Linked DNA regions of Tamandua tetradactyla. The main gene of each other region encodes a partner of the protein of the gene in region 2 in a complex. Links are inferred from orthologs where the notes say so. Each region holds a gene or a part of one and is shown on either strand. Other genes may lie near its edges.

Region 1 (3,746 bases), on a different chromosome or scaffold from region 2:
ATTTCACTTGGAAAAAAAGTCTCTTGGACCTCAGAACCTTTAGGGAAAGCTAGACAAAAGCGCGTTAGGCTTTATAACCTTGGCAAATATCTTTGTGCCTCTGATTTTTCACATAGTTTTCCTACCACCCTTACCTAATTGGCAAGAAAGAAAAAAAAGAGAACAAAGCTTGGAGTTTTTAAAGAGCTAGAGAAGCAAAATTTAAGTTGGGAACTTGACCTTCATCCCTCTTCAACTCAAAAAGCTCAAGGTCAAAATGCTTGGTTGGGGTAGCCATGGGGGAGGGGAGCAGTGAGAGAGTGCACCCACGTATGAGTGCGAGGGGCCACAGGAGACTGGAACGGGGTGGCATCTGTGTATTGAAGAAGCAAGCGGACCAGGATAAGGGAATATGGATGACATCTGGGAGGGAGAAAAGGAAGCAGGTAGGAAGAAGGACAAAGTGAAAGGGGGACTCAGAAGGGGGAAAGAGGAGAACTAGAGGGAACTGTAGTTGAGTTACTCCACAGGTTTTCCTCCCACCTTTTCGCTACATATCCTCTTTTCCTTGATGATCTCAACCCTCTTAGCCCTTCAGGGAACATCTCTATTTGGATGACTGCCAAGTCTCTCCAGCCCTAACTTTCCTGCAGAGTTCCATTCCCAACTGTTTGACTTCTGACCGGTGGCATCCACCTAATTTCCCACTAGTCCTTAAAATCCAGAAGATCCAAAGAGAATTCAGGATCCTCTCCACCTCAAGCCTGCTCTTGAACTAGCTCTTATTTGCCAAAAACTCATCTGAATTGCTCTCTTCCCCCCATCCTTCAATCATTCTTTCATCTAACAAATACTTATTATGAATCTCTCATCTGCCACAGCACTGGATATATCCATTCACCCTCCAAGGTGGGTCACTTCTACCTTGAAAATCCCTTGTATCTGTCCATCTCCTCAGATGGCGGATTCAACTAATTTTTTTTTTTAACTGAGATTTACTGAGAACGCCTTTTGCTTGAACCATGGCAACATAACACGGTGGGTTAACTGGTCTTGCATGTTATTCATTCGCTAGTGATCACCTGGTGCTTAGTACTGTACCTCAGAAATTCTAGGGGCTCATAGTGGAAGCTTCAGGGCTGTAAACTTGCTGAAAAGGAAACTGGGAAAGCATAGCTAAGAGATTTGTCTTGAAGGAGTGTCTGCATGGGAAATGCACTGTTTTCCTTAAACTGTATGTTCCAGAGCTATACAAATAACATCTGCCTGACAGCTCTTTTATTCTTATTTCTGGGGTGTGGCTCTGGGGGACTGGGTAGATGATCAGAAGGAGGTCTGCTGTTGAGTCTCCCGAGAGAAAGCCTGCCTCCCCCATCCCCACTAAGTAGGTGCTTGATAATCACATCTACAACTCTATTAGGGACCGTGGATGTTGTGTTCTCCATTACGTGCCCAGCCCCTGGAACGACGGGTGGCCCATAGCAGGGGTTCAATAAATAGCTACGGAGTCTTCTGGAAGGGCAGGGACCTGGGATGTTTTATTCCCCAATCCCAGGAAGAAGACCAAGATGAAGGTGGCCTAAGGGAACTGCAAATAGTGCAATATGTTTATTCCCTAGCCCCTCGGTGCTTGGTACACGACAAACGTTTCCTAAGCGAAATAAATCACCGTCCCGCACGACTCCAAAATCGGGCCCCTTGCTCAGCAGCCAGGCCCTGGAGTGCCGCCACCATCTGGCCCAGGCCCGCGCTTCCCTCCCTCCCAGGCACGGCTCCAGTTACGTCCCTGCACAAATCTGTACCCCCAAGCCAAACAATTACACGCTGCCGCTTCCCTCCTCCCGGTCCGGGTCGGGGCTGTCCGCCGGCCAGGACCCTCGGCCCCTTCCCACGCCAAGGCTCGGGGGCGCCGGCGGCCCCCGCCTGAGGCCGTCGCTGGCTGCGGGCTCTGGCACCCCCCACCCCAGACGCGCCGGGGGACCGTCCATGTGCTCGGGGTTGAGCGCTGAGCCCCCGGAGGCCCGGGCACCCCGGCTCGGCTCTGCCACGCTCGTCAGGCAGGAGAGGCCGGGCCAGCCGCAAGGCGGGAAGAGGCTGCAGCTGTGAGGCGCCAGGGGGCGGCGGGCCCCGCCGAGGGCGGCGGCGAAGCGCGGCCCGAGCGAGGGGAGGCGGCGCCGCGGCCGTGGGGGGCTGGGCTAGCGGCGGCTCGCTCACTCACCACGGTCCGCCGGGGCACCGCGCTGGGGGTCCGGGATGGGGCCCGGCGGAGCCTCCGCGCCCGGCTCGACCGGGCCCCTCCGGGGCTCTCGGAGCCGCTGTCGTCCGAGATCACGATAAATTCCTCCATAGCTGCGGGGCCCGACCGAGCCAGCGCGCGGGCAGCGGGCGATCCAGGCGGCGGCGGCGACGACGACTTCGGTTCCTGCTGCTGAGGCGGTGGCGGCAGCGGTGGCGACAGCCCGGGCCATCACCCCCGCCGGTCCCGTCTCCGCGCTCCGCCCCCCGCCGGTCCCGTCTCCGCGCTCCGCCCCCCGCCGGCCCCGCCCTCGCCCCGCCCCCGCCGGCCCCGCCCCCGCCCCGCCCCCGCCGGCCCCGCCCGCGCCCCGCCCCCTTCCGGCCCCGCCCACCGACCGCAGGTGGCGGGCCGCGGGGTCGGGGTCAGGGCCGCGGGGTCGGGGTCACGGCCGCGGTCCCCGTGCTTGGCGGCCCTGCCCGGCCTCTGTCCCCTAAGGAGGGAAGAAAAGAGGAAGAGAAAACCAAGCTGCAGCCGGCTTGGGCCGGTTTTGGGGGCGCGGGCGTGCGAGGCGCGGAGACTGTTTCCAACTGACAGAAGCGGGAGCTGAGATAGGTGTGAAGTAGCTCCTGCCCCGCCGAGGACTGAACCGGCCCCTCGGACCCGCAGGTGACCTGGCCTCGCACTTCCGGGATAGAGGGGTCACCAACAATTAAGGGCGGGTGCCTGGGCCTGTGAATGGCGGTGGAGAGGGGCCTGACCTTCGGGGGTGAGCCACTCTGGCTAAACGCATGTTAGAGGGAATCTGTAGCCGACCAAGTGGGTTTCTCCCGCGGCCCCTGAGGTCAGCAGGCCTGTCTCACCGGGGCTGGAGAGGACACTGTCTGAGTGAGGTAGAAGCAGAGCACGGTGGTTGAGGGGCGAGCTGGTTATAAAGCTCGCACGGTTTCACTTGTCATAGCATGTGGAATAATATTCCACATGAGTACAGGATGCTCCAACTGACTGAGGGTGGAGGACCCAGCCTGTGACGGACCAGGGGGAGAGAGGCCACCCTTCTTTCTGCACATTGTGCAAGTAGATCTGTGGGTAAATTCTTAGAAGTGGAACTACTGGGTCAAGGTTACCTGGGTGTTATTCTTCTTCTGTTTTTTTTTTTTTAACTTATGATCATTCCGTTCTACATATATAACCAGTAATTCACAATATCATCACATAGTTGCATATTCATCATCATGATCATTTCTTAGAACATTTGCATCAATTCAGAAAAAGAAGGACAACAGAAAAAAATTCATACATACCATACCCGTTATCCCTCCCTTTCATTAATCACTAGCATTTCAATCTAAATTTCTTTTAACATTAGTTCCCCCTATTATTTATTTTTATTCCCTATGTTTAACTTGTCTGTTGATAAGGTAGATAAAAGGAGCATCAGACACAAGGTTTTCACAATCACACAGTCACATTGTGAAAGCTGTTTCACTATACAGTCATCTTCAAGAAGCATAGCTACTGGAACACAGCTCTA
Region 2 (3,746 bases):
TCCCTCTTTCCAGACTACAATAAGAGTTCATCTAAATTACAGTAGAAATTGGAATGAGTTTTCATAACTAAGTAATAAATGTTTCAAATTCTTAATTTCTTAGGGATATTTAATTTCTTACTGTCAAATTCTTAATTAGAAATATTCTTAAATATCCTAAAGATAGTTACAAAAATAACATATTACCTTGGAAAAACATAAATATAACAGAGAGAAGGAAGTTAACTAGTAAGTAAAGGGTAATAAAAACCAAATTGCTTTAATCTTTAAGGATTTCCATACCCTAAAGTGGGCACAAAGCAAGAAAAGACCATATTATCAGAATTTGTATTCTGATTTGTGTCACAAAAGGAAATGTTATTATATGCAAAGCAAAAAAAAAATTAACTTCCTGGTAAATTATGCTCGTGCTAATTTTACCTGAAAGAAGATAAGCAGTAGACTAGAGGATTCCCTAAACATTCATCCAGTATGAAATTGGAATGTGCAGGAAAAACGTAAAAGTCCAAGTCCCTTGAGGGTTTAGCTTCTACATTAGAAGAATGCAGAAGTCCACATTAGAAGGGTAATGGTTAACTAAGAATCCAAAATGTTTGTAGAAATGCTAAGTGGTTATGAAATGAATATGAATGTCAGGCTAAGGAAGAATCTGTGCATTTGCTCACAAAAAATAAATTATATTGGGGGCGAGCCACAGTGGCTCAGCAGGCAGACTTCTTGCCTGCCATGCCGGAGACCCGGGTTTGATTCCCGGTACCTACCCATGCAAAAAAATAAATAAAAAAAAAAAATTATATCAGGCAAATGAACTCTACTAGAGAGTAAAGGAAGAAATGCTAGAGGCCTGCAGAGGGGTGAAGGATGAGCCTTTGGTTACTGGTTGAAGAAAAAGAGATGGGAAAGGTCAGCGAAGCAGTTAATTCAAAGCAAGATAATGGTGAAGGTTTTTATATTAATTTTAAATAACTTTTTCCAAAATAGTGGATTTCAGTTCCTTTTTGAAGGATTACAGAGTTTTGGGTGACACATACAAGAAATTCTGTAAAATAACCATGAATGTAACTTTCAAGAAGGAATAGTTTCCTAACTTCATATGCACAGAAATGCCCACTAATTACTTATAACTAATTCTTAAAAACACAAATAGCCAACATTCACAATAGCTTCAAAAACCCTTATCGAAACTTTTGGGACCAAATATGTTTTAGAATTCTGAATTTATCACATTTTACAAAGGGCTTACTTTGGATGTATTATGTAAAGCCCCCAATAGGGTGTGGGGCTGTACCCCACAATCAAACATTAGTATTTCTCCAGCAAAACTTATGACTATTCACACTTGATAGAGACCATAAACGGCTATATATTAGCTCTGGTCAAGTTTGGCTGCTCAATGAGATTTGGTGCTAAATCTACTGAAAAGCTTTGGTTTTCATAGTTTTTTAGCTTCCGAATTAAGATAAGGGATTATGGACCTGTACTGCGATATTAGAACATAATTCTGTTAAACTTCTGCTATGAGATTTTTAAGCTTAAAATAAAAAAGACAGTACCAAGTGCGTATAGAATTTAAACATGTTTTATTTAGGAAGTCATTTGATAAAACTCTCCATAGCTCTCAGAAAGTTGGTCTAGGAAATCTTCACAAAAAAATTGGCCTCTGGGGAGGTGTAAAGTTACTGAAAAAGAAAACACATCACATTCCAAACCTGCATGTTCTTTTAAGTATGATTTACCGTGTATACTGGACTATAACGTAATTCATGGACAGATTACCCTCATTACATCTTACATAACTTCACCCACACTACAGAAAAGGTTTATAGTGTTAAACCACAGGGATCAGGAACTTACAATGTAGAAAAAACAAGTAAATAATGTATTAAGCGGGTAGGGCCTCGGGCCAAGCTATCTTAAAGGATAAAAATCACATTCTACCTAAGGCGGATTCCCCGTAGCCACGCAGGCTTATAACCACTAGACCAAGAACTGCTTCCCAACTACAGAAAAAGAAACTCGCACTCCCAGAAACCCCCGCGCGGAGGCGGGGCGGGGTTTTTTGCCAGGCTCCGAAATGCCGAGGCCTGAGATCGCGGAGGATGGCGGGAACTGGAAAAGTGGTCGGCCGCTGTCCTCCCCTCAAACCCTTGTCCCCGCGACCCGGCCCCTTCTCATGCCCTCTGCACGGTACCTGTCCCCAGGTCTCTCTGTTCTCTTTCCCGCTGCAGCAGAGACGGTACTACCGGGTCTCAGATGGCAGCGCGGGGGCGACGACCCCGGGGCTGGGGATGAGGGGAAACCTGGCCTAGCGAGCATGCAGCGCCTTGTCATGTCGGCGCCGCAGGCGACGGCGGCATGAGCTGTGGCTGGAGAAGTTGGATGCGTGGCTGCCGTCTTGCTGCTGGATCTTGGGGAGGCTGTCGGAGCAGAGGTGGGCGGCACCCCCTTCTCTCTTCATGGCGGGTCTCTCTCTTCGGAAGTGACTCGCGTGTGAGCGGGAAGGAACCTGAAGACCAAGATGGGCGGGTCTTACTCCAGGCGTCGCATCTTCATTGGCTGGCACGGCAGCCATTCCGGTAGTGGCGCAAAAGAAAGCCGCATCTTTCAGGGGAAGGCGGAGTTTCTGGAAGGAGGAGGGGAGGAGGAAAACTGCCCCTTCCCATCCCGTCACGTGCATGGGGGCGCGCGGGGCAGCGTTTGGGCCGCGTCGGCTTCAGCTGTGAGCCGGGGTGGGGAGGCTCGGGTGGCCGCGGGCTCTGCAGCAGCCGGCGACACCCGCCTGGTGGAGGGCGGAGGGCGAGGATTGCAGAGGCAAACCCGAGCCGGGCAGCTGTCGTCTGTGAAAGATGGCCAACAGTTGGTCTTCCTGTGCCACACAATTGTGCATTAGAAACCCCCAACTGTTCATTATCTCGCCTCTTTAGCATTTTAGGCCAGGGTGCCCTAATGCTGTCAGCCTTTCCTTCGTAGTGTGCAGTCCAATCTGAAGACTTGCCCATTCTGAGAGCGTACTTGTTAAGTGTTTGTGATACGATACGTCCCTTACCCCCCTCTCTTATTAAGAAGGGGGGAAAATCATTGAAAAAAAAAGACAGTATTCCACAAAAACATTTTGAGTTTCGGCTGCTGAAATGAGTTATCCATGAAGTCTTTACAGCCGTCTTCCTTGGGGTCTTTGAAAAGAACATGATGTCACTCTTCACTTATTCAGGTTATGTGTAGACAGCATTTATTAGCAAAAGCTGCCAAGTCTCCGATCCTCCTTTGTAAAGGGCTTGTGCTTTGGAGGCTGCTAGCTAAGGTTTTCCTTACTAGCTAAGAGATTGCTAAGATTATTTCGCAGCCTCAGTTTCCATATCTATAATAAAATGGGTTTAATACTCACTTGTCTGGGTAATTGTAAGCCATAAAAAGAGATAAGGGATGTGAACTGCTCATTCGAATTTCTCATGTAATGGATACTCATGAAATTATAGTTCCCCTTCGTTTGGTTTCTAGACAGGCTCTTACACTGAGTTTAACTTCCTACAAAAACTTTCAGAGACAGGTCAAATATTGTTATAATAGTTATTACAACTAGAATATCAATCTCAAGGATACCCGAGCTCTAGTTGACAGGCTTGTTCAATCATTTGGATGGTATGAAATCTTAAATGACTCAAAAGCATTTGGACAGGTCCTTAAAGTTTATTGCTCTGAGATTTAACTGCGTTTGTAGCTAGGCATGCCTGACTGACCTGAAATTC

Evidence for each region.
Region 1: the proteins of SLF2 (region 2) and SIMC1 are in contact, whole or in part, in a cryo-EM structure (PDB 7T5P), measured with the Homo sapiens proteins. The link is inferred for Tamandua tetradactyla from reciprocal best matches to the Homo sapiens genes SLF2 and SIMC1. Residues at the interface, in NP_060591.3 of Homo sapiens: His738, Val772, Leu775, Lys778, Asp783, Phe786, Gln790, Gly791, Phe792, Thr794, Ser795, Ala796, Tyr797, His798, Tyr799, Cys820, Ile821, Gln825, Ser828, Met831, Glu832, Ile835, Arg836, Asp838, Thr839, Ser841, Asp842, Ser843, Pro847, Lys919; in NP_001295125.1 of Homo sapiens: Tyr426, Arg428, Leu431, Lys435, Leu438, Pro440, Val442, His443, His444, Leu445, Phe447, Gln448, Arg470, Arg471, Phe490, Asp493, Pro497, Val521, Asp522, Lys525, Glu526, Tyr528, Met529, Met532, Lys533, Gln536, Leu537, Arg571, Asn658, Gln661.

The regions. Positions count from the first base shown.
Region 1 is NC_135346.1:57,621,274-57,625,019, reverse strand, and holds the start of SIMC1 (SUMO-interacting motif-containing protein 1), read right to left. Parts: upstream 2,465-3,746; 5' UTR 2,327-2,464; coding exon 2,198-2,326; intron 1-2,197.
Region 2 is NC_135339.1:62,477,371-62,481,116, reverse strand, and holds the start of SLF2 (SMC5-SMC6 complex localization factor protein 2), read right to left. Parts: upstream 2,512-3,746; 5' UTR 2,332-2,511; coding exon 2,192-2,331; intron 1-2,191. UniProt on the Homo sapiens protein: Plays a role in the DNA damage response (DDR) pathway by regulating postreplication repair of UV-damaged DNA and genomic stability maintenance.